Astyanax mexicanus: one gene and its partners. The protein of the gene in region 4 purifies or fractionates together with the protein of the main gene of each other region. This does not show direct contact. Links are inferred from orthologs where the notes say so. Each region holds a gene or a part of one and is shown on either strand. Other genes may lie near its edges.

The links.
Region 1: the proteins of mapk6 (region 4) and neurl4 purify together in Homo sapiens (affinity purification with mass spectrometry; 6 studies listed by BioGRID and IntAct, counting the BioPlex papers as one, with this or other methods). This does not show direct contact. The link is inferred for Astyanax mexicanus from reciprocal best matches to the Homo sapiens genes MAPK6 and NEURL4.
Region 2: the proteins of mapk6 (region 4) and ube3a purify together in Homo sapiens (affinity purification with mass spectrometry; 3 studies listed by BioGRID and IntAct, with this or other methods). This does not show direct contact. The link is inferred for Astyanax mexicanus from reciprocal best matches to the Homo sapiens genes MAPK6 and UBE3A.
Region 3: the proteins of mapk6 (region 4) and cep170aa purify together in Homo sapiens (affinity purification with mass spectrometry; 3 studies listed by BioGRID and IntAct, with this or other methods). This does not show direct contact. The link is inferred for Astyanax mexicanus from reciprocal best matches to the Homo sapiens genes MAPK6 and CEP170.

What each region holds. Positions count from the first base shown.
Region 1 is NC_064422.1:43,800,221-43,808,626, reverse strand, and holds the start of neurl4 (neuralized-like protein 4), read right to left. Parts: upstream 3,517-8,406; 5' UTR 3,490-3,516; coding exon 3,325-3,489; intron 1-3,324. UniProt on the Homo sapiens protein: Promotes CCP110 ubiquitination and proteasome-dependent degradation. By counteracting accumulation of CP110, maintains normal centriolar homeostasis and preventing formation of ectopic microtubular organizing centers.
Region 2 is NC_064412.1:17,793,369-17,800,850, forward strand, and holds the start of ube3a (ubiquitin-protein ligase E3A), read right to left. Parts: upstream 3,075-7,482; 5' UTR 2,924-3,074; intron 963-2,923; 5' UTR 915-962; coding exon 913-914; intron 11-912; coding exon 1-10. UniProt on the Homo sapiens protein: E3 ubiquitin-protein ligase which accepts ubiquitin from an E2 ubiquitin-conjugating enzyme in the form of a thioester and transfers it to its substrates.
Region 3 is NC_064414.1:22,580,319-22,587,898, forward strand, and holds the start of cep170aa (centrosomal protein of 170 kDa), read right to left. Parts: upstream 3,393-7,580; 5' UTR 3,244-3,392; intron 1-3,243. Other genes in the region: sdccag8 (serologically defined colon cancer antigen 8 homolog), read left to right, coding at 5,556-5,619, 6,632-6,769, 7,267-7,355.
Region 4 is NC_064416.1:42,066,734-42,075,024, reverse strand, and holds the start of mapk6 (mitogen-activated protein kinase 6), read left to right. Parts: upstream 1-5,236; 5' UTR 5,237-5,454; intron 5,455-8,291. UniProt on the Homo sapiens protein: Atypical MAPK protein. Phosphorylates microtubule-associated protein 2 (MAP2) and MAPKAPK5.

The DNA of each region.
Region 1 (8,406 bases), on a different chromosome or scaffold from region 4:
GAGGTCAGAGTGAGCTCTCTGAGCTGCTTACATAACCGCAACTGTAGAATACTGTACCCTGCAGTCTACAGCAGACTCACTGTCTCTCCCATTCTATTTAAAATCAACCAGGTAGAGTATTAAAAAGAGAAGGCCAAGCTCTGTAAACCGACAGCGCTCAGTGAAGACTTTAAACTGAGGAGCTGTCATAATTCTCATTCTCAGAATTCTCTCTCTTTGAGGAACACAAAAAGACTAGGATGCTCTGAGACAAACCCTTAGGCTATGTTCACACAGCAGGTAAAAAATATATATGTCTTAATGTAAACATGAAACTATATATTTTCAATCCTGATTTGGGCAACTTTAATATGCAGTTGAAATCTGATATATGTCGGATTTCCAGCAATGTCACAGCCAGATTCATTCAGATTCATGCAACTTTTATATCAGGTAAAAGGCTTTTAAGAGACTGGAAACTCTCAATTCTCAAATCAACTGGACCAGGCAATATATTTATATGTGCATCTGAACATCTGTGTCAACAATTGGTGAAACAACAAGCAGTTACATGCATTTATTAGAAGAGTTTACAAAATTCATTGGAGAAAAGTGAAAAATTATGCAAGAAAATGAGGAAAATGCACAAAAGTGTCAGAGTGAAGGTTTCATTGGTGATATAATAAAAGCAAGTGACCTGTGTTTCTAGTTAAACTGTTATTGCTGTAGTGTCAAAGGACAATAAAGAGCTTATAAAAAGTACAGAACACAAACTAAAGCAGTATCCTTAGCTAAATAGCAGCAACCCTTTTTTCCACAAAGAGCTTGTATTCCTGGTTATAAAACCAGCTGCAGGCTGAACTTTGCCTTGTAACGCTGGAGAAGATGAAACTGAAACTTCATGTGAAGCGCTGTTCTTTAGCACAGAAAAGACTGTTCAGACAAATGTCAGATAGAGGTCACACTAAAAACAGTGTAAACAGCCCTAAATAAACATCTGCTGTTTAAATGTATTCTTAGTGCTTCATGCTGAAAATTGCATCACAGTTATCTTGAATGGACATTTGAGATGTTTAGACGTGATTTTTATAACAGCTTGGATTGTACAGACTTTCAATTATTTCAAGGAGAACTAGTTCAAATTAAGCTTAGATGTTCAACCAGTGTATCATACTATCATAATGACCAGAATAGGATCTGTATATCTATGATGTAATGCCCATAAATGTTAGTTTTAAACTTTTGCAATTTGATTTTGTGCATTTACTCATAATATCCAGGACCTGGCAGTTTACAGGAAGCCATTAACTGAGCGCTTTGAAAGAGTTTAAAATCCATAAAAATAAAATAAATCCACTTTCTTAATGCTAGCTTACTCATCATACGAGACAATAACATTGTGCTGCATCCAGAAAATACTCCAGTCCTAGTTTAGTCCTCCAGTTAAGATTCAATATTATTTACAGCATTTTAAAGCATTAACATTTTGTAACATACAAGCCTGCAGGTTCTTCCCCACTGCCATCGGATTCTTGAACCTACTTCAGACAAAATAACCCTGCACCTCACTCTCTACACTTCACTGTAACAATGTTTACAATTGCTCTACTGAACCTTTTGCACTTTTGTCACATCTCACTGCTGTAGATAGTAATGTTCTTCCTTGTACCATAGTTTTCCAACTATAGATGCACCTAAAATCCTTTAATTTTCCCCAAAATTGACAGTGAGCCTTCTAATCCGGTGCTCCTTATGTATGAATTTTACCAGTCAGGTATTAAGGAGCAGTAAAGTCACTCTGCTGAAGTATAGCATTATAAAAGGGTACGTCTTGAGCAAAGTTTCTCCAGCACCAAGGCTGGAGCAGCATTTGCATTAGCAGCCAAGTATATTGGACTGTAGTTTGCGTGTTTACCGTGTTACAGCTACTAGCTACGCGGGACGACCCGCTGGCTGATAGCGCCCTGGGTTTCCAAAACGCTCAGGGTTCCTCAGTGTAGCGTTCTCAGGTGGCATTTACTAGCGCTAAGTGCCACTAACATATTTTAATGCTAAAATAGCTTACTGTAAATAAATGTTAGTGCTTAACTCACACAAATAAACAGGAGATGTTTCAGGAGAGACATCTATGTAGATTAGCACCCAGCACTTGTTTAATTATGTGAATTTAGAAGGGAAACATGGTGAAACCCTTGTTCCTTACTAGTGTCACATACAATGCGCCTTATAATCCCGTGCACCTTATGTATAAAAATAGACTTTTATTGATATTGCACCTTATATATATCCGTGTCTGTAAAATACAGTATAAAATTATTGATGTAAATTTAACAACAATTTAAAATTTGTGAATATTTAGTTAGTATATTATTTCTTTTATTGTATTTTTCATTTTTCTATTTATGAGGTATACTTGGGGAAAAGCAAAGAAAGAATTTTATTGTACAAGGAAATTTGTTTCCTTACTGTGGCAATAAACTGTTTGAATCCTGAATCCTGTCTTATGTCTTAATTAATGTCAGTTAATAAATAGCTGAGGCATTACTGAACCACGTAACAGTGTTTATTAGCGTGATTTTCCTATTATTTTTTGTGAGCCTTAATGTACAGTATTACCCAGATCCGAGAGCTGTTATTCTGTGTTTATTATTTATAAGCTGCCACTGCTCGGCTGTCAGTGAGACTGTTAGCGTTAGATAGCTACTTAGCTTAGCTTAGCGTAGCCTAGCTTTTTAGCATCCAGCTAAAATAGACATAAACATAGAGTAAGGACAGCCAGTTAATCTCCTGTTACTTTAAAAAGTGTGTATTTATCAATAACCGAGTATGTAAATAAGCTTTAAATATTGTATTCATCAGCTAAATTGTTAACTAGTAAAGGTTAATTAACTAGTTAGTTAGCTAGCTAACCCAGCCTGCTAACTAATTAGGCTGTGCTAGATCTAGCTAAGCTAAGCTAAGCTAGCTATCTGATCGAGCAGCAGCAGCTAACAGATAGCTAGCAAGTTAGCTAGCTAACTAACATAGCTAATACATGATAATATAACCTCTTTACCTTAAAATAAAGCACTGAAATAAGAAATGCAGCTGTAATATCTGAATTTTCGAGCACAAATCAATCATATGCGTGTTAAAGCGCATCATCAACTAAGCACATTTCGCTGCTCATCGGTGACCAAATACCAATTTTCCGTTCCACCTTAAATTTCGCACTGCTTACAGCCTAGCAACAGCGCTGGCGCCGGGCTGCGACTACTGCAATATTTAAGGTGGACCGGACAACTCCGCTAGAGCTAAGCAGCCAACTCCAGCCGCCCCGTTTTTCTCTCCCGCACAGCGATTTACCTTCTTGTCAATCCGAACTGTGAAGACGTCCCGGTCCCGCAGCGGCTCCCGGCTGAGCACCAGGCCGTGGTTAAACTCCTGCACGGGCTGGTTCCGCTGCGCGGTCCGGTTCGAGTTGGACAGACCGATGAGCTTCCCGCTGCGCGGATGCAGCTCCGCCGCCATGATCGCGCTGGGGCGGCCCAGTACTGATGGGGCGGTCGCGAACGATCCGGCTCTAAGAACCGGCTCTTTGAATTGAACCACGGGGGAATCGACTTCTGATTCTGCACCGATTAGGTCTCTCACGATATATCAGAAAATATTGCGATAAACGATATTATTGTCATTTTAAGACCATATAAATACCACTGACATATTGTTAATAGAATAGCACAATAAAGCAATTATACCCTTCTAAAGACAACAAAATTCGAAATTAATCATAGTTTGTAAAATAAATACTTTTTTCTTCACCTACTGCAGAATTCCACACTGTGTTTATGAAGTCACTAAATCAGAGTTATTAAAGCACTGATTGGTCATTAAGCATGACTGGCTAAAATACTGTCCATGCCATCATAAAGCCTTTTACAGTCAACAAATTTGTCATTAATCATAAAAGATGTCAAGTAATGAAGTGTAAATACCTTCTTATTACCTTATCTATACTTCACTTTTTACTTCTACTCCTTACATTTTCACTCAATTATCTGAACTTTCTACTCCTTACATTTTAAAAATAGCCTTGTTACTCCTATTTTGTTTTAGCTTGTTTTTCAGCTTTTTTACATTATATTTTAAGTAGTTTTGAAACCAGAACTTTTACATTTGAACTTGAGTAAAAAGCTTGGGTTGAGGCTCCACATTCTACAGAAGTATTTTAAACCCAAGTATCTATACTTCTTCCTACCGAGTAATTAATGTTAATATTTTCACACCTTTAAAGACAACACATTTGTAATTAATCATAGTTAAGGAAATATATAGCTAATATTTTTATTCACCTACTGCAGTCCACACAGGGTATATGGAGCCACAGTTATTTAAGCATTGGTTATTGAGATTGTCTAAAATACTAAACATAAGCTAACTAAACACAAATGTTCTTATTTGTTGTGCTATGTTTCAGTTTTATAGTTATTTGGTTGTAGATCCAAAGCCTGATCAACTGAGGTGGTTTGGGATGCAGCAACTATTGTTCAGCACCTCCAGGAACTTCAAGATGCTGAGAAAACTATTCCAGGTGACTCTACCTCACCTCTACCACACTGAGATAAAAATACCAAGAGTGTGCAGATCTGTCCTCAAAGATTAATGTGCTACTTAGAATAATCTAAAGTATAAAACATATTATGGTTTGTTTAACAGTTTTTATTACATAATTCCACGTGTTCCTGTACAGCTTTAATATAGTCTTAAAAAGAAAGAAAACACAATGAATTAGAAAAGGCAACAAAAAAAGTGGAGCTGAAAGAGTCAGCTCTTTTTAGTGAGCCGAGCCAAAAGAACAGACTCTCTAAAAAGAGCTGGAATTCCCATCACTAGGGTAAGGGGCGTGTTTACAACAGAGAACCAGCGCTGGCAGGGAGGGTGTGCTGCCAAATGTTGTCACAGAGAGGCGACTGTGAACTGAAATGAATACTGTATATCTTTAGAAATAATGCTTAATATTCATTTTAAAAAAAGGTCAACAAAGGTTGTAAATCTTCGTTATAAAACACACAATGCCCTTGAAGCATTTCAAAATGAAATCACTTACAATGGTCACATTCTTTATTTTATTTTATTTTATTTTATTCTAAGACTGTAATTAAATTGAATCATCTTGTTTGCACAGGCCAGTTAACATTGAGACATTCTTGTGTGTTATTAAAAAATAAAAGCCCTGTAAAAGCCCACATTTCTATTATTTTCACTGAATTTTGATCTTTTTATTAAAAGGAATCCTTCTTTTTGCACAAACCAGTTGCTGAGCAGCATTCAGAAGCAGCTCAACTGTGTGATTTGTAGTGTTCGTTAGCCTGTGGGGATTGTGCATCCTTTTTGATGAAGTGGAAACTAAACCCCCTGATTTTAAATCACTCCACCCTCAGCTCAAACCTAAAAAAAAATATTTAAAAAAATGAGAGTAGTAGTTTAGGAGGTGCCAATGGGTTTAGGGGTGGGAAAGAAGGGAGAGCTGATTGGGCCGAGGGGTGTACCTCTGTAGCGCTAAGATGCAGATGGTTTGACGTCACATGGGTGGAGTATATATGCACAAGACAGATATATTCCACCAACTCTCTTTATGTTCTTCCACAGTCGATTTTGGTTACTTTGCTTACTGCTGCTGCTGTTGATGTTGCCCAAGCAGGTAAGAGAGGCCAGGTACGTCCCCTATTGGAGCTTACATTTAGTCTCCCATCCGCCCCAAGTGCATTTATTTGTACTGAAAAAGGTGTTTAATAAAACTATAATAATAACAACTTTCCCAATTTCCACTCGATTTTCACACGGTTTAGTTTGTTACAAACAGCAGAGATGTAGTAATGATACAGTAAACTATCACACAATACAAATACGTGCTTTCATGCTGAAATACTTTGTATTAGGCTCTTTGACAAAGACAGGCATACAGACATCACTGTTATTGTTTACCTGATTTGAAAAGAGGACTATCTGAATATCTGAAATTTATTAAATAAATAAATTTAGTTTTTTAATTAATAAAAACTAGTTAGTAAGTTCCCTTGAAATAATACCTTTTTATTAAATCTGACAAACAGTGTTAACGTAACTTAACATTTATATTAAATTATTGAACTCTGGCTCATAGACATCATATGTATAGACGCCTCATAGCCTGCCTCATGGCGTGTCAGCGTGGCCGCCATATTGGATGGGTCTCCCAACCGCCCCAAGTGCATTTATTTGTTCTGAGAAAGGTGTTTAATACAACTATAATAATCACAACTCTTATAATTTGTACCCGAGTTTCACACGCTTTGGTTTGTAACAAACGGCTGTAGAGATGTAGTAATGATACAGGAAACTGTCACACATTACAAATGCGTGCTTTCATGCTGAAATAAATACTTTGTATTAGGCCCTTTAACAAAGACAGACATATTAATACGTGCATAAATAAGTGTATAGATGAATCAATTATATATATAGATATATTCAAAGTTGTATTATGAGTTTACTTGGTTTATATGGAAGTCAAGCTTTTTTCCCAACTCCTCACTTATAAAGTTGTGGCGCTAACCTAGAGTGAGAAGACCCATCCAATATGGCAGCGTCATATGACGTCATATGTCATATGACGCCGTGCTAGATATTGTCCGTCAGGTACCGCTGACTTACGTCGGTCTATGACGTACCTGCCGTGTTGCACTCTAGCTGCCTTGAGGCGGCGCAGTGACGTCATCGAACCAAGGGTATATAAATGAAGAACGCAGAGCGGGCACTCTTCTGACGTGACGTCATTGTCAATTCAGGGCGACATGGTGCAAAAGACATTCCTGCAGACTGGCGCATCTAACAGAGAGGCGAATGAATTTCGCATGGAGATGGAGTTGATAAAAAAAGGCATCCTGCTGCAGGAGCAGGAGGACAGGATGGCCAGGGAGAGTGAGGAGCTGCTTGAAGGCCTAGAACGGCTTAAGCGGGAAGAGTCGAAACAGAAGAGAGAGGAGCGAACAGGGCTTTTAAAAAAGTTGAGCAAGTGGTTAAAAGAGGTGAGAGAATTCTTCAGAAAGAGGCCTAGGAGGAGTGTTAAGGAGATGAGGCAGAGGGTTGTTGGGATGGAGCGGGAATTAAGGAAGCAGGATCTGCTGTTCAGGGAGCGGAGGCAGGAGGATGTCGAGCGCAGGCAGATGATTAAGAAGAGGGAGGAGGTGATTGAAAAAGCTGAAAGCAAGGTTAAGGAAAAGGAGGCGATGGTTAGGGAGCAGAGGAAAGAGGTTCAGCGGATGCAGAAGATATATCAGCAGCGGGAGAGCATGTTTCTGGTGAGGGAGTATAGGTTTAAGAAGCGGGTGAGGGATTTTACGGAGCGCGAAAAGACGGCCATGGAGCGAAAGCCTAAGGTTAAGGAGCAGCTAGAGAAGGAGAGAAGCATGAGGATGACCATGGTTATTAGGAAACAGCAGGTTATGGAGGAACTCAAGAAGGTAGCAGCTGAGCGCCAGAAAGCCGCAGGGGAGAACCTTCTTTCAAATTTTGTATGCAGTGTTTTGTAAAACCTATCATAAAACAAATTGAAAAACAATGCAAAAACAAAAGGCCGTTTCCTCACCATGAATACCCACCAGCTTCCTAAACAGTTCCCACCTATGGAGGGTAGCCGAGCCAGACCCGGCTGCAGAAACATTTTAAAGGGGGGGCATTGTATTTTTTCAGGGGGGCACATTTTTTTCAAAAAGCCTTTTATTTGCTTCAAATTGAACAGCGGCTCTATGGCGACTCCAGTGCCGAGAAACAACAATCTGTCAATAAAATCCCAAAATCTAAACAAACAAACAAACAAAAAACAATAGTGCAGTGCTTTGTTCATTCAATTAAATTAAAAGTCAAATATATGCAAAAACACATGCAGTGAAAAACATAAGCACTGATGTCAGAACACTGACTGAAGTAAACATTCATGCTAGGAGGGTTAACTACAACAGCTAGGGAGTACAAGGAGCAGAACAAGAAACCTAAGTTTGTGCATGTGAGGGAGGAGGTGTGGTGAGCAGAAAGAGGTTTACTCCACTTTTAGTAGAGTGGCAGACGGCGTTTGTGTTTACTCCAGTGTTGACTTCAACGCTTACGTTTCCAACTGAAATGAATGGTGCTGCTTCCTGTCCATTCTCATGTACTCCAGTGTCACTTGTTGTCCTCTTATTTGTTTGGAAATAAGTCCGAATATCCATGCCACACGAACAACGGTGAGCGTAGCTGTTTCTCAAGTATGAACTTTAGTCAGTGACCCGCCCCCCTCCAACTGTAATTGGCTAGAACGTTGCCTTCCTTCACTGATTGGTTGAATTGTATGACTGACAAACTGAGATAGGAAAAATAGAAAGATGTTCACTCAGAGGTGAAAACAAAACAAAACAAAAAAAAAAAACATAT
Region 2 (7,482 bases), on a different chromosome or scaffold from region 4:
CGCTCGCTTCCTGCATCAATCATTCAAACAGGGAAGCAGGGGATTAGTAAGGTTCATTCACAAATCTACTTTTAAATTTTAAAGTCAGAGTAGTGCAAATTTCAGTGTTACATCACAATTAAGAACTACAGAGAGCCAAAACACTACAGCCCCTTCAGTTTCGCAATTATAATTTAAATGTTATAATACTTAAACACCAAATGCCCTGCAAATAATGGCTCAGATTAAGCCCATAATTCTGTCAATTGCAAAACATCTAAATAAAGATGAGCAAAAATCAGATAAGCAAGAGACACTTCAGCTGCAAATACACATGCAGAATGACTTTCATGCTATGATCTAGGCTAGGCCTGTCACAATAAATTTGGATTTCAAGACAATTTCATGCCACTAAAGTATTGAGAAATAATAACATAACGTATTAACAGATTATATTTATGCTGCTTATGCTACGTGAGTTTATTACACCCTAAGGATTACTTAACTTAACTTCATGCAAAGCAATTCAAACTGGCCAAGTGACTCTTAAAACACCTAAAATAAATAAATCTTACATTACCATGTGCTGCTTTTAAACAACTTTGACATACCAGCTAATTCATGTTAACTGGGCCTCCTCGTCAGAACATGCAATACTGACATAATTATTGTGACAGGCATTTTCTAGGCTATGTTTTTAAATGGAAAACAAAATCTGTAAAAAAGGGGACTGTGCAACTTGCTGTATTTGGGCTGCATGCTCTATACAGCTACACAGTCTGATTTTAGCCAAAACAAGGATGTAGCAATCAGCTTTTCCACAAGCACTGGCATTAAATATGTGATAATGGCAGTGGATGAGGTAAAGGAGAGGTTGCTATACTGGCAGTAAAAATTTGCTATTTTAACAGTGGATAACGCACATGTACTTACATTAGACTTGCTTAAGGTTTCCAACGCTGGACTCTTCTATGCTCTGAACTCTAAAGAGAACAAAATGTGGTCAGAAACAGTTCTGTAGGTGACGAATGAGATGATGGTTTGGCTTTGGACTGACTCAGTTTTCTAAACAGCACAGCTTTCCATCCTTAACCCTCTATGACATGGTGTCGCCCCTCAGGCAACAAACAACTTTTTTTTTATTATTACACTATCCTAACATATATTTTTAGTATTTAAACCAATATACTTAAAAGCCAATTTTAAAGCCTATTGTTGCTATCTTGTTTTCACTTACCTCCTAAAACAAGTATTTTTAATGTGTTGCCTCAGAGAAACAATATGCCGTTAGATCACAAGGCAATCATGATAAAGCAGACTTTTTGAATGATAAACGTGGGCTGATTTATTTTTTTAACAATGATAAAAATCATGTTATAGAGGGTTAAGGTGCACAAATTTTTGCATGCATTTTTATAACAAGAACTACAACAACAGGTTTATTAGCTAGCTATAGAGACTCTAAATAGAGCAGACAGAAAACAGCAGTGAATTAGATAACTTACAGGACAAAAATATAATTACAGCTAAACTGAAATTTTAATGTACAGCTCTGGATAAAAAAAAAAAAAAAAATATATATATATATATATATATATATATATATATAAAATATAATCAAGAGAAAGATGAATGATCACAGCCATCAAGCCAAGCTGAACTGCTTGAATTAATGCACTTTTGCACTAGGAATGGCATAAAGTTATCCAAAAGCAGTGTGTAAGACTTGTGGAGAACAACATGCCAAAATGCATGAAAACTGTGCTTAAAAATCAGGGTAATTCCACCAAGTATTGGTTTCTGAACTCTTAAAACTTTATGAATATGAACTTGTTTTCTTTGCATATTTATCTGCATCTTTTTTGTTATTTCAGCCATTTCTCATTTTCTGCTAATACATGCTAGAAATAACAATATTTATATAGTATACAGAATAACACAATGTTCATTTTACTCAAAAATATACCTATAAATAGCAAAATCATAGAAACTGATTCAGAAAATGAAGTGGTCTCTTAATTTTTATTCAGAGCTGTATATAACTTTTACTGTGTTTCATAATGTTTTGGATGGGTTGGATCATGTTTGTTTGCAGCCTGAACTACAGGAGCTGACAGGTGATGTTTAGGGGAGTACTGTGAGAAAACCCGCCTGTAGGAAAAACAACTCTGTTAGCTAGCTAACATATCTAGCTAGATATTTAGCTACGAGAAGGAGAGAACGTAACCCAGATAAGGTGCGAGTTTTAGATACTGCTAGCCAGCTAAAACAAGTGATAGAGTGACAGAAAGTGCAGCTAACTAAGGTTAGCTAGCTAGATATCTAGCCTGCTGGCTCAGCTAGCTGGTAGTCGGTGTTGGCCAGGCCGCCAGGGGGCCGGGGGGTATGACTGTGCACAAACACGACGCGAGCCTTCAGCTAACTAAAGCTAATAACTTCCACCATAAACAACGAGGAGAAATGTAGTTACTATTTAAAGCCAGCTAGATTAGCTCGCTTAGCTAAATGCTGACAAAACCATGGTATCAATCAACAGAGCTGGCGCGCAGATGCAGCGCCCAGCAGCAGCCCGTAACCTTGCTGATGCTGCAACTGTCACCGGGAAAAGCTCCACTAGCGCCGAGCTAGCCAGCCAGCTAGCTAGCCCACCAGCTAGCCTGCCTAGCTAGTAAGCTAGCTAACTAACTCACCTAACCTGCTGCTTTCCTAGAAGCTAACCAGTTTATATTCTAATTTCCCCCACTTTATGACAATACTATTTTACAAATCCCCGATAAAACGACCCCTCCGCGGGTCCCGCTCGCCTCCCCAGGCCGCAGCAGAAGCCGCGCTCTCTCCCGCAGCGCCGGAGCGGTAGACCAGTAGCCCAAATCCCGCCCCGCGGCAGCGCTCCTCAGCTAAAAACAAACTCACACACAGCACTGCTGACATGCTGACAGCTTACTTCTGAATATGCTCTGTCGCGGGCGAGTAAATCCTGCCACTCAACATCACAGTCGCTCCAGTTCTGCTTGTATTCAGCTCCAGCTCCTCAACCAAACATTCTCGGCCATCTTGATAGCTAGTTAGCTGAGGCAAACACCGTCCGTATCCCAAGATGCACCGGGAACCACCAACAAACCATCGATGTTCAGCCGAGCAGCCACAGCGGCGGAAATAAACAGAAACAGCTCATATTCTGAACAGGAACTGTGTGTCACCACAAACCCTTAAACAGCCGCAGCAGCACTACGCCGGACACTTTAAACAGGCTATTCATTAACATAGCTGTTCATATTTTAATTCATTTTACTGTCTTTCCACACTTTTCCTCTTTACTCCGAGGCTCCTGTAATAACAGCACGCAGCACCAGATGGCGCGCTCCGAACAACAGACCATAATATATAATTTAGTGAAGGACCAGAGCTGGGTGCACAGATTTTAAATAGCCTTCTATGTTTTTTTCTTAAATGTGTGTGTTAAAGTCTGTACAAAGCCCTTAGTTACTACGAAACAGAGCACAAAAAGTGTGTTGGGTAGATTATTTCTGCTACATTTGTAAAGAACATGTATCGAGATGAGCAGTTGAGCTGAGTATGTGAAAAAAAATGGCCAAATTCTCTCTGTCAGTGCCAAACCACGAAACTCTGATGTATTTTTTTAACGTAAAAAAAAGTGGTGAGCACCACATGCCAAGTGGTAAGCACCAGATACTAATTGTTGAGCACCACATATTGAGTAGTGGAGGTTTTCAGTGTGGAATGTTTTAGCTAGGCAGCTAAAGGTAGCTATAAGCCCAAAGCTAATGATAACCAGCTAGCTAACTAGCTAGCTATCAGCTAACCTAGCTATCTGACTCTTATTAGAAGTGCACAAGGGAGGAGGGATCATGTTGTAGAAAAAGTGGGCACACACGCGCACAGTATGTAGTGATTTAAGCTAATTTATAATGCCTAATCAAAATAAAATGTTTTTTTTTTTTTTTTGTGATTGGTCTTGTGTTTATTCTGTAGTGGACAATAGAGTCTCATAAATGTAGACAGCTGTTCAACCCCAATCCAGCATTGACTCATTAAACTATATACACACTCACACACATCAGTCCTTAAGGGATATGAGGTGAAGTAAAAGTAGAAGATATCAAACGGTGCAACTGTTGCACAAACTTTACCCTTAGCTATATTATTCAGAGTCAAATCCAAAACAAGGAGTTTCATATTGTAGATGTAGTAACAAGACCAGACCAGAGTTGAACAGAAGAGTGCATGAATGAGCAGTAATCCTCTTGTAAATAGTGGCTCTTATTCATCTTTTGCCTCAATATTAGAAGGTTGAATGACACTCCAACAGTAAAATTGCCACAACTAAACTAAGTTTTAACAAATATGATGCATAAATAGACCCCTTTAAACAGCATAAAACCCCAGAAAAAAAACAAACAAAGAATAAGGTGGCCACACAGCTCCCCACCAAATGCTGGCAAACATCCTTGTAAGTCCCCACAGTCCCCAAAAGTTTCTTTCCCAAGTTCAGTAGTCCCTTATGTCCACAGGCCTCGAACAGTCCCTCAGATGGGCCGGTGCAGGACAACACTACCTTTCGGTGTGTTGTATCATCTTCAGCTATGATCATCAATTCTGGACATTCTGGATATGTACATTCATGCTAATGATTTGAAAGCTATGAATCTGCACTATGCCAGCATTGCATTAGTAACTTTAATTCAAGTATCTATTACAAACCTGTTTTATTTAGTGATTTTAAAACCCTAAAAAAACTGCATTGATTTTCCTGAGCTTCAGCAGTGTTCGTCAGGGCTGTGTGTGTGTGTGTTCCAGGGAGAGCAGCTGGAGGAGAATATGATTGGATTAAGTTAGTGACAGTGGGGGCTTTGCAGGTGAAGTGAGGAGTCAGGAGAATCCCTACGGCTGTTTTCCCTCAGAGCCCACTGCTAGGTTTGATGTCAAACACAAGCCAGTGGGTGAGAGATGCATTCCCTCAAAGCCTCAGGCCTTCTTTCAGATTGAAACCTGCGGGGTCCCTGGAGACGCTCACAGTAGCGAATGCACAAAACAGCTCACAGAGAGGATGACCATGATATGGCATACTTTCACTTGCATTCATGGGAGCTGCACTACAGGGAGTACAAACAGAATCACTGCATAACACTGAGCAGGACTCTGGAGGCTGCATTGCTTGACATTCGAACAAAGAGTATATACGAGTGTGATGTGATTTGTGTGTCTGTTGATCTAAAGGCAGAGTATGCAAGTGGTTCATAGTGATGTTTGTCATTGATCTCTGAAACACAGCAAAACAACAATCAACAAATATAAAATCATAGTGTCAGTAGTGTGTTACTGTGCAAAGATCAGATTTAAATTATGTCAAAATTGAAAATTAAAAAAATAATGTAGAATATAATATTACTGTAATAATAAACAATAACAAATACCTTCTAATCTAAGAAGACATGGCAATTCATATAGGAAGATGTCCTGGGTTGTTTCTTGTTCTTGCTCTGTTTTTTAATTTGCACATCTGGACAAAATTATAGGTACCTTTCTGTTAAAGACAAAAACTCATAATGGTAACTGAGATAACCTGAAACCAGCAAAAATAATAATAATAATAAAAGAAAAATACTTAACATCAACTATCTATCATCAAAGATCTCTTTAATATATCTATACGTTTTTCTAGACAAAAAAATTTATTTTAGCATGAGTCTCCTGAGAGGAAGAGCTCAGTAATATCACATATCTCCTTTTGAGGTTTAATATAGATCCCAATGAAGTCACATTGTGCTGAGATTTACCACAGTAATAACACAATCAGAAATACAAATACATCTCCAAGGACATCAAAGCAAATAAAAATTGTGAATTGTGGTTCAACAGTATCATTTAAAAAAGCTATAAAAAACAAATAAAACTGGCAAGGGCAAAAATGGTGGTACCCCTAGAAAAGACTGAAAATAATAGTAATAACAGTATATTCCCAGAGTAAAAGTGCAGTTCAGGTAAGTTATGTATCTTAATGGTATACATTAAGATACTTTTAATGCATAAGATAGTATTTAATGGTTATAACATCAACGTTTTTCACTGCTGCACTTTGGGCAATTGACTCAGAATCTGTGGTAAATGATTATATAAAACAAATATGCTAGAAAGAAATTAAGTTGGAGCAAACCAGATGTTATAGATGAAGGACACACCATCATCTTTCAGCAGAGGACTCTTCAGACATTACCTGCAGCCTTAGCTGACCGCATTAAAGCATTGTGGCTGTCCTTCACTTTCAAAACGCTATTAATCCATCCCTGCAGCATTCTTTAACATTGCAGCAATAAAGATTTCATGCAGCTGGACCATATGTTGTGAAACTGGGCACAGTTAAAAGAATTTTATTAAGAATTTTACAGCAGTATGGAGACAGCACACTGAGATAAAACAGTGCAGTTGTTGCAGAAAGTGCTGTAGATGACACATAATGCCATTCTTTCACCCATAGTAAAACTGGATTGAAGGTGAGAATTTATTGTCCACAACACATGAACAGGTGCTGTGGGGGTAGAGGATGGAAAATTACAGTCAGGATGCAGTTACACTAAACAAAGCAGACAGATTGTGCTGTACCATCCAATAACAATGAATGCATTTATTATTAAACCCAAAAATAGCATAAAATACACTTTCTAATAGTGAATTGAAATTAAGCGGAAGATTAATTTATTTTGATTATTTTATTATTATTATTTCACTTTGTTCTTCAATTATCAGTGCTTCTATATGGTTGGTGGAGATGATTATAAGGACAATGAGTGTAGAAACAAGTTGGTTATAATATTCTGACTGGACTGTAAATGAACAAAAAAACTATTATTATTCCTCCAAACCATACAAATGAAGCAGAAAAATATTATTAAACAAAAAGTTAAAATGACACCTCTGAGAATTCCTTACATTGTGCTTCAGGGCTGCAGTCTTGAGCCAGTGAGCTAAGAAACAGTAAAGGTATTTTTCAATCAGACAGGCAGGTTGGACTCTCCATAAACAAGACAAAAACACAGAGGATGCCTCTGGCGGTCTCCTCTGTTTTTAACCTCTAACCACATTTGGGCACATCAACAGTGTTGCATGTTCCTGTCAGATACGAGATGGGATTTCACTGTTTATAGGCCAGAAACAGAGCCACAGCTGTGTCCCAGACAATCAGGACCATCACAGCATTTCACATCTGAACACAGAGTAAAATCTAAATATGACAGGAATATAGAAAGAGTGTTTTAACATTAGTATATTAACATAAATAAAAAAACATATAAATAATACATTGAAAACAGCACAGTAACATTATTTTGATATCAAGTCTATTTATAGATTTATTTAGCTTCAAAAACAGTTAGCATCTCGGTTAACATGTGCAAAGCCTACTGTTACAATGTCTGTTAGTTTCCACTGAGCCAATAACTGTGTTCTGGTGTTCTGAGGTCAATACGAACTTGTGTGAACTATAGC
Region 3 (7,580 bases), on a different chromosome or scaffold from region 4:
TGCCTGATACATAAAGTCATGCACCAACAAACCACAATCAAAGAGAGATCCAAACTGGCAAATAACAAAGAACTCTTAAAGAACCCCTTGTAGTGGATTTGCCTAACAATACACTTTTTCCAGGAGAATCTGCAGTATCATCACTAGGGATGCACAGTGATATCAGAATCATATCAAGGATTTCCACAAATGAGAACAATGATTCATGATTCACAACTGCTAATAGTAAAAAGCTTTTCAGGGCTTCATTAACATGCTCTGCATTGAATCACACTGAATTACACATAAGTCTAAATCAAGTAAGGTAGCAGAATCTACTTTCTAACCTTGTTAAAACATCCAGCTCAAGACCAGCTGGTCATCCTGAAAAAAATCCCTTTGCTGGTAGGCTAGCTCATTAACTAGCATTGACGACCAGGATCTTACAATTTTGTGTATAATAATAGGTTTCACTGATATTTTTGACACTATGAACTATGAACATCAGAATCCTGTAGAATGTATAAGTTAGGCTTAGTTACACACATGCTGTACATTTAAACTGCATAGGACTTTAATTATTACATTGTAACAATTATTTTCAGTTAATGGAACAATATTTTTTTCTGCTACTCAGTGATATTAAGCCCATTAATTAAACCTTATTTACACTAATTAACACAGAGAGACAGTTTACTGCAAAATGCTGTTTGAAAGTAGGCTATATTTTCCAAATTGGACTTAACTATAACACTGACAAAATTATTTTCAGTTAATGGAACCATATTTATTTCTGCTAATCAGTGTAATTCAAACATTACAATGATTACATTTTGATTTTGATTACATTGTATTTTGTAGCATCTGACAGCTTCAGGTTTACTGATTACTGATTAACTAGTGTTAGCTTTAAACTAATCATAATATTTCATTTCTGTGGATGTATTTTGGTGTTTGGGGTTCACTAAAACCTCTTTCATAAACACTAATAATTCTAAGCAGAATCCACCAGCAGCTCCTATTATTGTTAGAGTAATGTAATTTAAGTTTAATCTAGCCATTTTGACTATCATAGAAGACAAAGGCCTAAACTCATTTTTCAGAGGCACACTCAAAACAGAGGGCCTGTAGTACCAGGTCTGCCTTGAAGCAAAGATAAATAGGCCACATTTTACAAGCACAACATTTAAAAAATCTAAAACTTGTTGCTAATCTAAATTACAAGGACCCTCATAGTGTCATCTAATAGCCCAATGCTGCGGCCCAGTAAAGCACAGTTTCAGTTTGAGAGAGGAGAGCATCTGGCCATGGGAGAAAGCATGGCTCCTGTCCAAATATTCCAGTTTGAGCAGTAGGAGGGAAAGGAGAAGGTAGTCTGTCCCCCATTGCTTTGCTTTGTTAGACGTGTTAAACGTTGACGTCCTGTAGCTAACTGTTATCAGGTTTATATGTTCCAGTTTTCCGATGTTTCTTACTGTACCTATATTGTTCGTATTATGTTTATTTTTTACCAATACTCTTAGCTTAGCTAGTTAAATATATATGGAGAAATTAATGTGAGCGTAGCTACAGCCTGTCTAGTCTAACTCAAAATAGGTAGAACTGAGAGAAAGGAACTGAAATAAATAAATGTATACAGCACGAGTCCCACCGGGATCCCCCCTTTATCCAGCAGCACTCAGCTAACCTAGCTGTAGCCCTGTGGACATGATCAGCAAAGTCGAACCGGGGTTTGCTTTGTTATCGCCGGTTATAGCTGCGTGTAACCTACAGTGTACTACAGTGTATTAACACTAGTTAGGTTACCGTTTAGTAACATATTAATAACTAAGGGAGCGATGTTGTGTAAAGAGCGGAAGCTATCCAGCGGGTTCACTGAGGCTGAATGGAAATATTCAGGCCAGATGTAGCCAGGCAAAAAGACAGACAGACAGAGAGAGAGAGAGAGAGAGAGAGAGAGAGAGAGAGAGAGAGAGAGAGAGAGAGAGAACACAAAGGGAACTCGACCAATGCTTTAAATTGTGTCCTTTAACACTGGTATTCTTAGGACATCTCTGTAGGGCATGAGCAGCTAATAATATAATACACATTTTAAAAATACGATATCTAGGTTAGGTAGCTATACTTCTTAACGCCCTGTTACCATTAAATGAGAATTCGCATTAACCACATTAAACCTACCCAGCTGACACACAACCGACCTTTAACATTAAAATGTGGTTGAAATATGATTGAAGTAATGTCTGTTGTTGTTTCAACGTTGAAACAACATTTAATGCTAAATGGTTGTGCAAACGTTAACATTTTTTACGTTGAATCAACATAATGTCCTTAACCTTCTGCCTTTTGAATGAACATTTTACATTTCATCACCATACAATTAAAAAACGGTTGGATAGAGGGAGGACAAAGTAGTTTTACTTCCATTTGCAGGAAATTCTTAAAAATTTGGCACCAATTCTTCACCATATCTGGGGGTATATTAATGTTCAGTTTGTTTTACTGTGTTTATTAACACTCTTAACCAAAGTATTTTCTAGTTTAAGTGTGCTATGGTTTATTAAAGGTTAAACGTACAACGTTGAAACAACGTTGCCATATCAACGATAGTTCACTTTTCAAAATCAACACCAAATCCAACGCTGATTCAACCATAACATAAATGTTGATTCAACGTTGAAATGCCAGCTGGGTAGGATTGATGGATGCCTGAATGATACTGAAAGACTGATCTTATAATTTAGCTAGCAATCCATAGTTAAATAAATTACTGAAATCCACTACACATACGTAAACGCGTGTTTTTCATTATTACAAACATATTCCAGATGTTTGAAACGTTTTGCACATATTCAAAACCCACGAATAACGTTACCCACAATCAAATCAGGATCTCTGAGCCATGATGCTGCCACAGCTCTGAAAAACACAGATCTGGCATGCTGATTGCACACGTTGTGATGCTGCTTGAAGTTCTGCCGGCCGAAACGCGTCTCTGCAGCGAATTTTACACCATTAATCTAAAATAGAACTGAATTCATCACATATTGCTCTATGAAGAACATCCGATACGGCCTCGAGTCAGTAACGTTAGCGTTGCTAACCTAGGTTATAGGAAAGGCAAGAAAAACGTTTTTTAGACACGCCAACAATAAGCTAGCGTTAACGTTGCCCTTGCTGCCGATGCACCATTAAACATCCATCCATCATTCCGAAAAATATAACTAGCAATATAATATTGATTGACATATTACTGTTACTCACCCCTTTCTGTTCCCCTTTTTGTGCAAAGATCCAATTCAGAAGCAGCCCAACGGTTTTCAGTGCCCTGCCCAGTATGTGCTCCTACGTCTCAGTTGCTCAGCAATAACGTTATTCCTAACAAATAGCGGCGACCTACGGCAGGCTGGAATCAGGCAGGCAGGACATCATAGCCAGAGCCGGGTTATTAAGAGCCCGCCCACTTTCTATTCTCTCCGTTATTTCAGTCAACGACTGCTAACCTCTAGAGGGAGCGCGTGAGTGAGTCTTTAATAAATGAAGGAGAATGGAGCTAAACGGCTTAAAACTCAAATTAACAATAGAAACGAAATACTTATCCGGATTTTCCTTTAATTCCCTGAAGATTTTTTTTTCTCTGCAAAAACTAGAAAAAGTATCTGTATGTTTCCAATTTTCTACATCAAACAGTTTTTAGGCAGTAAAGATGCTAGCGTTACTGCTAAACAATGCTAAATAGCACATTTAAAAGGCTTATACGCTTTAAAATGATTTCTGTGGCACTGAAACATTTAATATTTTTCCATATTAAAGAAAATAACTACATTTGTCAGGATAAAAATAATAAAATATTTATAAATTTAACATCTTTGATCGCAAGACCCTACAGCCAATAGTGAGGAGAGCTTAGAAGACCAGTCTCTCTGCCCTCTATCACCGACATCTACACCACACGCTGCATTCACAAAGCCACCAGCATTGTGGACGAACACACACATCCCTCATGTGGACTCTTCGAAGATACCGGAGCATCCGTGCCTCCGCTAACAGACTGTGCAACAGCTTCATCCACCAGGCAGTCAGACCTCTCAACACACAGAGACGGAGCTAAACCCGCTCATCACACATCCAACACACTCAAGCCCAATTTATACTTCTGCGTGAAAACTACGCCATAGCCTACGTGTATCCAGGGAGAGTGTGCTATGCGGAGTGCGCTTATACTTCTGCGTGCACATATCAGCAACTCTGTGTTGCTCTGCCCTTAGTCCTTAGCCCTTAGTTAAACCACGAAGGCAGGAATGTGTGGGAGGAGATGCGAGATGTCCTCGTCACACGACGCGTAGTTACATTTGCAGAGAGATGCGAATCGAGCTATGGCGTAGGCAACGCCGTAGGGCACACAGTGAAGCTTAGGCTACGGCGTAGGGTATGGGGTGACGCATAGGCTACACCGTAGGTTCGACTCAAAAGTATAAATTGGCCTTAACACAGAACTAAACTGAACCCCCCCACCTCTCTTCACGCACAAACACACACACACACCGAAATGTCTATATCCCTATTAGCAATATTTGCTGCTTCATTTCACAAAAACTAGAAACTCTCTATCTCAGTTACTGCTGTGATCATGTATGTTCTATATGTTACAGTATGTTACATATCTCAGCATATTATTCTTAGTATTGGTACTGCACTGTCCTGTCTGGTAAACTGTCTGTTGTCTTGTCTTGTCTGTTGTTTTTATTGCATTTATTGTAGTGTTATAGTTTTATGTTACACTTTTGCACTTTATGTTGTCTATTGTTTTGTTGTTCCATTTTGCACCATGGTTCCAGAGTAACATAAATTCAATACACTGTGTACTCAGGTGTGATGACAATTAAAGCCTGTTGACTTGACTTGACATGATAAACTATGATTTTGCCCAATTGCTCCATATAAAACCATATAATTTATGCACATAATCAAAACAAATACATATACAGCGCCCTCTAGTATCTGAATTTAAAAGTGACAAACTGGGGGAATACATTCTCGAGTGGGTCTTCTCCTCGCTACAGGCTCTCTGATATTACAGCAGCGCCAGCGTCTGCAGTTCCAACACAGTCCAGTGGGCGTGGCCTCAGCGATGTTGTCATCGCGCACAAAGACGCGTACCATGTTTTAAAAACTGTATTTTAAATATAGATACGGCGATTTTATTGTAATACATACATGTTTGTGATTTTAGACAATGATTTACGCGAAAATATGATTGCGTTTTTTGTCTTCATCGTTCATTAAAATATTAGCATCTTCCAATGTGTAGTTTTTACCCTCGTTATCCCCGTTCTCAGTATCAGGGAGGAGGTCACCGTGGGACTACAGTTCCCAGCAACCTTTGCGGGGACGTTGACGGAAGTTTGACCTGTGATTCGAGTGTTGACGGTTAGGGACTCAGTCACAGGTTGTAGTTCTGCAGAGCGTTGGGTTATTTTAATAATATTATAGATTTTTTAGACGGGACTGATTAGAGTTTGTAGCAGGTGATTAGGCACACATGTTCTGACGAGCTTCAGTTAATCCAGGCTAAAATGAAGCCGTCGCTGGACTCGGACGAGGAGGAGGAACTGGGAGCTTATCAGAAGAAACTGAGAGGTGATGCTGCTTAACGTTAATTAACTAAAATTAACGTTACGTTGCGTTGAACAGAAAATAAACATGCCCTTAAAATCCCGTGCGGTAGACGTTTTAGACCGTTTTTAATTATTTGCATGTTCGACTGCTAAACTAACTAACCTAGCTTTGCAGAAAAGTAGCGAATTATTAGGTCAAATCTAGTGTTGTGGTTTAATATAACTTAAAATAGTTGTTAAATAAAGTAGTTTTTAAATAAAGGCATTTCATATGCTGCCTCAAATGCCCAGTGAATATACATATGTTCTTTGAGTTAAACCGAAATTTTAAATGAATCTTAATTTTATCTGAATGCTGTCTTTTCTTACAAAATATTGTATATATAAAAATACATAAATATATGCAGTACCGGTTAGAAGTTTGTATACGCCTTCTCATTCAGTGGTCTTATTTTTACTACACTGTGAATAAATACTAAAGTCATCCAGACTATGATGAACACATAAAGAATCATGCAGTAAGAAACAAAGTTGAAAAAAGATTTGAAACTTGAAATATTTTTTTAAAAACTGCTACTGTGGTTTTATTTGTAAAATTGTTTGTTTTTTACTAAAAACAAAGGTACATAGTATGATAACCAACAATTGACACTGTGTTATTCTTACCTGATACGTTTCTCTACAATGCCTGATTTTACACCAAATACACTTGTTTTTTTTTCTTTATTCATTTTTGTCATTAAATAGTCCCAAAATTTATATTGTTTTTATTATTATTTAAGCTGTGTAGGGTGGAGTCAGCTAAAACTCTTTAAACCCCAAATCACCACTGGCATATCAATTATGCATGCTCCCCTGACATTTTCATAGCATAATAAAAAGAGTAGCCGATATGCTTTGTAGCTTTACACAGACTCAGATGTTCGAAACAGTGTAAAGGGTTGCAGTACAAAACTCTGTTGTTGCTTTGTTTCTTGTAATCTTGAGTGTGAGACACTTCAGCAGTTTAATCTGTATTTTATATATTGCCCCAGAGCAAGCCAACCGCAGTATTCAGCAGCTGAGCAGCATGCTGGCAAACCAGAGCTCTGAATCCGAGGCCTTGGAACAGGGAAGCAGTGATAACAGCATGCAGGACAGCTCACAGCAGCATGTGCAGCAGAGTGAAGCAGGTATGCCTCCGATCCATAGACAGTTAATGCGAAATATGATAAAATGTATGTATATCAGAATATACCATAATCAAGCATTTATTTATTTCAGACACATTATTTACACCCATCTTTTCAGCTTTACTGAGCATATAGGACATTTTGTAGAGCTACAATTACAGGTTGTAGTTCTTCTATTTCAGTGATGAGCTTCTGTCTCTGACTTTACATTTACACGCTGGAGCAGCAGGGTAGGACTGTATAATAGATTGGACATTTGTGTGTTTAAAAACTCCAGCAGCACAGCTGTGTCTGATCTACTCCTACCAGCATAACATATATTAACACACCACCACCATGTCAGTGTTAAACAACAGGGTGAAACGAGAAAAATCACGTATGCAGAGAAACAGAGGGCAACATTCTGAAATTATATATATATATATATATATATATATATATAGTTGTCAGTTGTCAGTTATCAGTTGTCAGTTAAGTTCTCTGCTTTTATTTTTCAGCCAATCAGCTGCGTTCTTTGCTTCAGAAACAGCCCCGAGAATCACAAGTTCCGTCTCTTTCTCCTTCAAAAAGGAAATGTGCTCTCAAGGTAGGTTACATGATTTAGGTAATAAAGCATGAACCAAGAAGACTAGTAAGTAATAGCTCTCTTGTAATTTTGCATATTTACACACACACACACACACACACACACACACACACACACACACACACACACACACACATATATATATATATATATATATATATATATATATATATATATATATGTATTGTCTAGGAAAGCACAATACAATTAAATTGTTGTTTCTTA
Region 4 (8,291 bases):
CAAAGGTCATACAAAGCATAAAGTGATAAAACAGAGCGGGTACATGAGAGAGAGAGAGACTGTAAACTCAGGAAAGGGAAATGCTTTGTTAAGTGAGGTAAACCAGACAATACTCTGTTTGGTTTATGTGTGCAATGAAGGTGTATATATATATACTGAGGTAAACAGATGAATTCAATATTCAGGTGATTAACTTTCTGATGACTTTCCTGCAGTGCCATGTGACTGTGTGAGGGAGTGATGTTAGTGTGAGGTGCATTCTGGGAATCGTAGTCCGAGACTTGGGGATCGAGTGTGGGAGAGACAGGAGCACCTTTGGCACCAGGTGTGACACTGAGGTTCTAATCCATTTAACCAGAAGTTCTAACGCAAATCATACATGCCCTCCTTCTTGTCGTCATGCAAAATAAGGTGGATACTGTCTGGAACCTCCAGGCACACATGGCAATAACATAATTGCATAATTGGGATGCTATTTTCGTGATCTGTAAGCGAGCCATCAACCATGAACAATGCAGATTGATTGATGGTGTGTCAGTGTACCTTTGCTATCATAACGACGGGAAAAGTAAGCCTTACATGGCTCGTAACGTGCAATAGACTTGTAATAATCCTTTTAATTAATCATGGGTGTGTTTTGGACGTAACGTGAAAAGAAACAATCAGTGTTTCTTTTTTTATTCCCTTCTAGAGTCAGGTGTGCTCTGACTTTGGCGGATTTATGTCTTAATGGCGCTTCCTAGCCAAAGAACCTGACCTGCTCATTCACTCTGTGAAGGTGTGTGAGCAGGTCATTTACAGGAAAAGCAATGTTATTTAATTTTGTATTCATTCATTGTTGAAGTAAAAGTTTGTCAATTGCCAAGATAGCAATACCCCAGAAATTTACCTGAACCTTTTCTAGACTACCAGACTAAATATATTCGTAAGATCCATTGCTATTTAAAATGACACAGCCACAGGGCATGAAAATAGACTGTTTGCAGGGTGTGAGATAGCAATGAGCATTGCGACTCTCATTGCGCAGGGTCTGGACCCTTGTTTGGTCTGAACCTTCAGACTTTACAGTTTGGTCCAGCTAAAATAGCAGGTGTGAAAGGTGCCACAAACCACAATCCAGACCAAAACCAGACTTCTCTTTGTGTGCATCACACAGCAGTATGGGTACAACATATTACACTGGTGATTCTGTATCTACTGTAACTGTAGATTCATCCTTCAAGGGCAACTCCCCAAATGGACGAATGTGCAATAAAAAAACATGTATCTTTAAAACAGCAACATTACCAGAGAGAGTTAAAACCTTTCAATTGAAATCAATGAAAAAAGAGTTTATTTTAGTTTTTTTAGTTTAGTTTTAGTTTAGAAGATTTATTCATTTCATTATAAACAAAATACATTTTAAAGAAGAAAAAATATATACAAATCACAAATAAAATGAAAGGCAGCAGAAAGAAGAAGAAATCTTATAATATCTGCCCCTTTTATCCCAAAAATAATTAAGAACAATAGTAAATTTCCAAAAAAACAAACAAAAAAAAAACTAGACAAAAAACATCAAATCCTTCTCCAACAACATTTGATATAGTTGCACATTATACTATTTCATATTTTTTATACAGATCAGCTTTTATCCTTTTTTAAACACACACATTGATCTAGCATTTTTAACATCACTCTTCTAATTATTCCATAATCTTATTCCTTGAATTACAGTACACCGCTCCTTCAGACTAGTTCCAAATTTAGGTTTTACAAACATCTCTATCCCCTTATAGATTATAACAACTTTTTCTCTTCACAAAATTAAATAGGATGTTTGAACTTAATGTTTTTTTATGAGCCTTATACATAAATAATAAAATATAAAAGTCAACTAAATCATAAAATATCAGTAATTTTAACTGATAAAACAATGTATTTGATGGATGACTGTAATGTTTTCTGGTGATAATTCTTACAGCCCTTTTCTGTAGAATAAGAATAGAATTTGTATTTGTTTTACACGGTTTTCCCCAGACTTCAATACAGTAGATTAAGTGTGGAACAATTATAGCATTATACAATATATACAGAGCTATATTTTACATATTTGTTTAGAATATTTCTTGGTTTATTCTTCAGGATATTATAACAAACGTCAGAAACAGTTTGTGTGTTTAAATTTGACAGCATTGATATAAACCAATCAATGCCAAGTACTTAAAGATAAAAACATTAAAAAACAATATTAAACCTGTTAACAAAACTCAAACTTGCCTTAACTTTCCCTTTGGGACCAACAAAGTCTATCTATCTATCTGTCCGCTCATCCATATATCCATCCATCCATATATCCATCCATCCATATATCCATCTGTCATGCACGTTTAATAGAGCCCCATGGGCAGGTGCTGATACAATATACCCCGGTGGATTAAAACTGTAATTTATTACAAAATATACTATTTATATAAACCTGCAACAAAGAACTGTCGATTCTAATCTGTGTATTTTCCATTGCTCTTGTGTACACACACATATGCATGCACACACCAACACACCAACACACACACCAACACACACACACATATGATCATGTGTTTTACACATTCCTTGCAGCTGCTGCTGAGCAACAGCAGAGAGGAAAAGACGGTAGTAGTGACATCACACACACACACAAACACACACACAGACTGAGATGACCTTAGCATATGTAACGACATACAAAACCTTCCAATTATAACTGAGGACCCGCGTAAACATCCCAACCTGCCAAGAGCGTAAAACAAACACACACACACACACACACACACACGCAAGCAAAGTGGAGCAACACACTGAACGACGCACAGCAGCAGCAGAACATGATGCAGAAACAAATCGTATTGTTTCAGGATTTCAAATGATTAAAATTATTAATCATGATTAATCACATTATTCAGTGTAGTTAATCGTGATTAATAGCATTTGTATCATGGTATTTGCCCAAAATTGACCCCAAATAAAGCTATTGTTCCATTTGAAAGCAGTGCATTGTTATAAGAAATTACTTATCATTTAATAGAATTATAATGAGGACAGGGTTTGAACATGAAACTCACGTGATCTCTACAGAATGAGCGCAGTTTTCCAGTGAGAATGGTCATGGGTCATGGATTCACTTGGGTCTATTCTTATTTGGAACGTGACACAAGTTACAGGATTATTATTTACTGTATGAATTCATGCAGTATCAAGAATATGAACGTAATCACAGTGTGGCTTATGACTAAAACAGATCTGACCATAGCAAAACAACTATGCAAAGAAAGCCAGAAGTTAACATAGACACGAGAGCACCCTGAAAGCCCTGAGTGATCATGTGATCAAGCAGCAGGATAACAGCACTAACATTTCAGTTTATATTTTATGTGTTTCTGTTTTTATTATCATCCACTGCCCTGTCCACTGTGAGTAGTAATGCCTTTTTAATGATGTATTCCCAATACACCCATTAAACTGTAGATCGTGGAATGTTAAATGTTCGCACAACTTCCAAAAAAGAACGTCCAGAACATCAATCTGGCAACTCTGATGATTCATGTCACCTTGCCATGAGCATGCTGGTCGATGTTCAGCTTCACTCACAGGATAACACCTTATAGAACTTCTACAGGTGTCGTCATTCCCATTATAAATAAATATAGCACTTTTAGCTGATGCTCTTAACAGGCTTACAATGCTACTGATAGGGGCATAGAGTTGTCCAGGCAAAGAAATCACTATTTTACACCATAAACAAGCTCAAAGTAGCTCCACACTTCATTAGTAGAATTCTGAGGGCCCTCAAATTTTAAAACAAGGCAACGAGAGCTTTAAAAGTGCACTGTTTATACACACAATACCTTCAGGTAGCTTGAAATTAAGTCACGATAAGTCAACTGACAAGTACAAATTAAAAAGTAGAAAATTAATTCAGTGGAAATGCAAGAATTCCAGTTGTTTCTGTCTGTTTTTAATAAACTATCTGTGCACTTTTAAAGTTTTCAGTGCCTCGTTTTACATAACAGGGCCCTCAGAATTCTACCAATAAAGTGCAGAGCTACTTTGAGCTTGTTAATGGTGTAAAATAGTGATTTCTTTGCCTGGGTAAAGTTATGCCCCTATCACTAGCATTGTAAGCCTGTTGGGGGCATCAGCTAAAAGTGCTGTATTCAACAAAATGTTGTACTTGTTATCATGTTTCACTACGACCCAATTTTGTTTTACACTGGGGTTCTCCTTTAAGGGTTTAAAATCTGACACTACCATGTACCAAGCTCTTATTAATCAGTTATTAAAACAGATAAATACCATTCTAGAGCATTCCACTTTAAAGACAGTCTTCTATTAGAGCGACATACAGCAGAGCATGAGCAGCGACAGGGTAGAAAGAGTTAATCAGAAGAATAATGTGTTTCAGAGCTGCCGAGATTATTTTGCAGGGTTTTTTTCTGCACAAGAACAGCTTAATGAGCTCAGATCAGCCCAGATCACACACACACACACACACACGTACAGAGAGAGAGAGAGAGAGAGAGAGAAAGGGAGTTAGTTTGAGAGTTTATGTGACCGACAGACAGAGGGCATGAATTTTGTCTGTGTGTGTATGAAAGAGAGAAAGAGTATTGTTTTTTTGTTACATTTTAAACTTTGTGTTTTAAATGATTTTTTCATTGGTTTATTAGTTTATCTTTTTCTTATTACTTTATTTATTTATGTACATATATTTATGTATTTATTTATTTTTATTCTAATGTTTTATATTTTAATTCTTATGTTCTTAGTTCATTATTATTATAATTAAGTTTTTCATTTCTTACCATTCTTATCTTTTTACTTTACTTTTACTATTATCTTTTTATTTATTTTATGTTTTATAAATTCCTTACTTTTTATGTGTCAATTTGTTTTTTTTATTAGAATCTTTTAGAATGTTCTATTTTACATATATATTTTATTCATAATGATTTAAAATTAGTATTTTTTTTTTTTTTTACTATTTTATTCCTTATTATTTCTAATTTCTTATTAAATGTTTTCAATCCTATAATGTTTCGATTAAAATGAGAATGTGTGTGAGGGATTGATTTTGTGTGTGTGTGTGTGTGTGTGTGTGTGTGTGTCTGATAAGGTCTGTAATAGGCCAGTATGTGACAGGCAGGTCCAAAACAGAGGTGAAGCCCCGCCCCTTTTGTCCCTGGCCTATATTTAACCCAGCATGAAGCTCAGTTACTGCAGTTTACTGCACATGGTCAGACACACACTCTCTCACACACACTGGACCTCTAATTCTCTTCCTGACCTCTAACCTGCTGCTGAACACTCCGACTGAGCACCTCACTGGATATAACTGAGCACTGTGGAGCCTGTTTTTCTGCACTTTTATATGGATTAATAACTGAGAGTTTGGGAAAATGTTGCTGCAGGACACCCCGGGCTCTCTTCTGCATGGTGAGTCTGTGTCTCTCTCTCTCTCTCTCTCTCTCTCTCTTTCTGCTTTAGTGAAGAGTGATGAAAAGATACAGACAAGTGTTTCATAAGAGAGCGCAGAACAAGAACAGCCCAAAGGAACCTCACACACACACACACACACACACACACACACACACACACACACACACACACACACAGAAACACAGACACTTGCGCTCAACTGGACAGACTCAGATTCAACTGCATTCAACTGCACTGTAATAACCAACTGTTGCCAAAGCTGCAGTAATTATTCAATGAGTAACATTTTAACAGTAATAAACATTTTCACTGCAAAAGTGATACAAAAAAAGCATTTATATTATATATTTAAATATACACATTTTATACTGCATACTCTGCGTGACACATTGGAATATATTGAATGTCTCTTAAAGTCTCAGCAGCGTCCCAAATCCTAGGCTGCTGCCAAGATGGGCTGCATTCCAATATGAGTGACCCTTTCATTAATATATATAGCCTAAAAATGCGCTTGACATTCTGAGCAATTTTGGGGACGCAGCTAATGTATCCTTCATGGTTCTCGACTACCCACAATTTCTTTGCACTCGTACAACATATAGGTAATGGCCAAATGACCAAAAGTTTAGTTTTTATAATTATAACTTATTTACGAGATGAAAAAGCTTTTCACACACAAAGATCACCGCAAATATTGAAGGCTCTTCCATATGTGTGATTTTAATGGGTTACTGAGAAAAAAGTTCATAGGGCAGTTTTGTAGTAGACCCCGTCATTCCTACTGAACTGTAGCCTTTGTAGACTTTGGAACGCAAACTACAGTCTCTTTCTATCTCTTTCCCTCTTTCACACACACTTTTAGTCTCTCTTACATTATAATCTCTGTTTCACTTGGTCTTTTACACACATTTCTTACATTTAGTCTATTTGTGAAATGTATACATAGAAGCTATTTCCCAGAATAAGAAGATTAAGCCTAGTTTTGTACAGTTTTTTTGAATGGAGATATTCAGTTGAAAGGAAATATATATTCTACCACCAGGCTTAATCCCTGTCTGGGAACCAACCTATAGTCTAACTCTCACATGTCTTTCCTACACAGTCTCACTCTCTCTTACATATATTTCTCTTCTACTTTTAGTCGTAGTTTGGACATCCAACAGTACAACAGTAGCCACAATATGGTCTCTTAAAAATATTTCTATAATAAAATAAGTCTTTCTAAAAGTGTTTCTAAAATAAGTCTCTCTTTCATGTTTAGTCTCATATATAGTCTTTCTCTCGCATACGTTACTCGTCACTCTCACACAAATCTCTCTAAAAGATTGTCTTTTGCAGCTGTCCAATGAAAAATCACCATTGTTTTAACTTTTGCAAGGCAAGGCAAGTTTATTCATATAGCACCTTTCATACACATCATCAAGTTCGCTGATGACACAACTGTAGTTGGCCTCATCAGCAAGAACGACGAGTCAGCATACAGAGAGGAGGTGCAGTGGCTGACGGACTGGTGCAGAACCAACAACCTATCTCTTAATGTGGATAAAACCAAGGAGATGGTTGTTGACTTCAGGAGAGCTCCAGGTGTCTACCACCCGCTGAACATCAACGGCTCTGCTGTGGAAATTTCTGAACTGAACTTCTCTGCAATGTGAACACCGAGGAACTTGGTGTTATCCACAATTGTGGATAACACCAAGTTCCTCTGTGTTCACATTGCAGAGAACCTCACCTGGTCCCTCAACACCAGCTCCATAACCAAGAAAGCCCAGCAGCGCCTCTACTTCCTGCGGAGACTGAGGAAAGCACATCTCCCACCCCCCATCCTCACCATGTTCTACAGAGGGACTGTAGAAAGCATCCTGAGCACCTGCATTACCATCTGGTTTGGGAATTGCAACACCTCAGACCGCAAGACCCTACAGCAGATAGTGCGGACAGCTGAGAAAATCATCGGAGTCTCTCTTCCCTCCATCACCGAGATCTACACCACACGCTGCATCCGCAAAGCCACCAGCATTGTGGACGACCCCACCCATCCCTCACACGGACTCTTCGCTCTGATGCCGTCCGGCAGAAGATACAGGAGCATCCGAGCCTCCACTACTAGACTCTGCAACAGCTTCATCCACCAGGCAGTCAGACTTCTCAACGCACAGAGACAGAACTGAACTCCCACCCCACCCACCACTCACCCAACACACTCGCACAAAACTAAACTGTACACCCCCCCCCCTTTACACTCACAAAGAACTGAACTTCACCCACACACACACCCAGTCAGCACACAGAGGCTGACATGACTTTTTTTGCTGCACTCTTAAAAACTATAAACTCTACCTCAGTAACTGCTGTGATTATATATGTTACAGTATGTCACACATCTCTGCACCTTATCCACACTATACACTTATTATACCGTATCGGTACTGCACTGTCCTGTCTTTAAATTGTCTCGTCTTTTGTATTTATTGTATTTATTGTTATTTAGTGTTATAATTTTATACTTTTATGTTGCACTGTCGTCACTCCTGCACTTTATGTTGTCTATTGCTTGTTGTTCTATGTTGCACCATGGTTCCGGAGGAACGTAATTTCATCACACTGTGTACCTGTACTCAGTGTAATGACAATAAAAGCCTCTTGACTTGACTTGACTTGACTCATTCAAAGTGCTGTACAAATTAGAAAATACAAAGATAAATCAAATTAAAAACATGTAATAGAATAACAATTAAAATGAAAATAAAAATAACATATAAATGAAGCATAACTGATTCAAACATGATTAAAAGAAAAGAAAAATCAAATAAAAACCTGTACAAGAACAACAA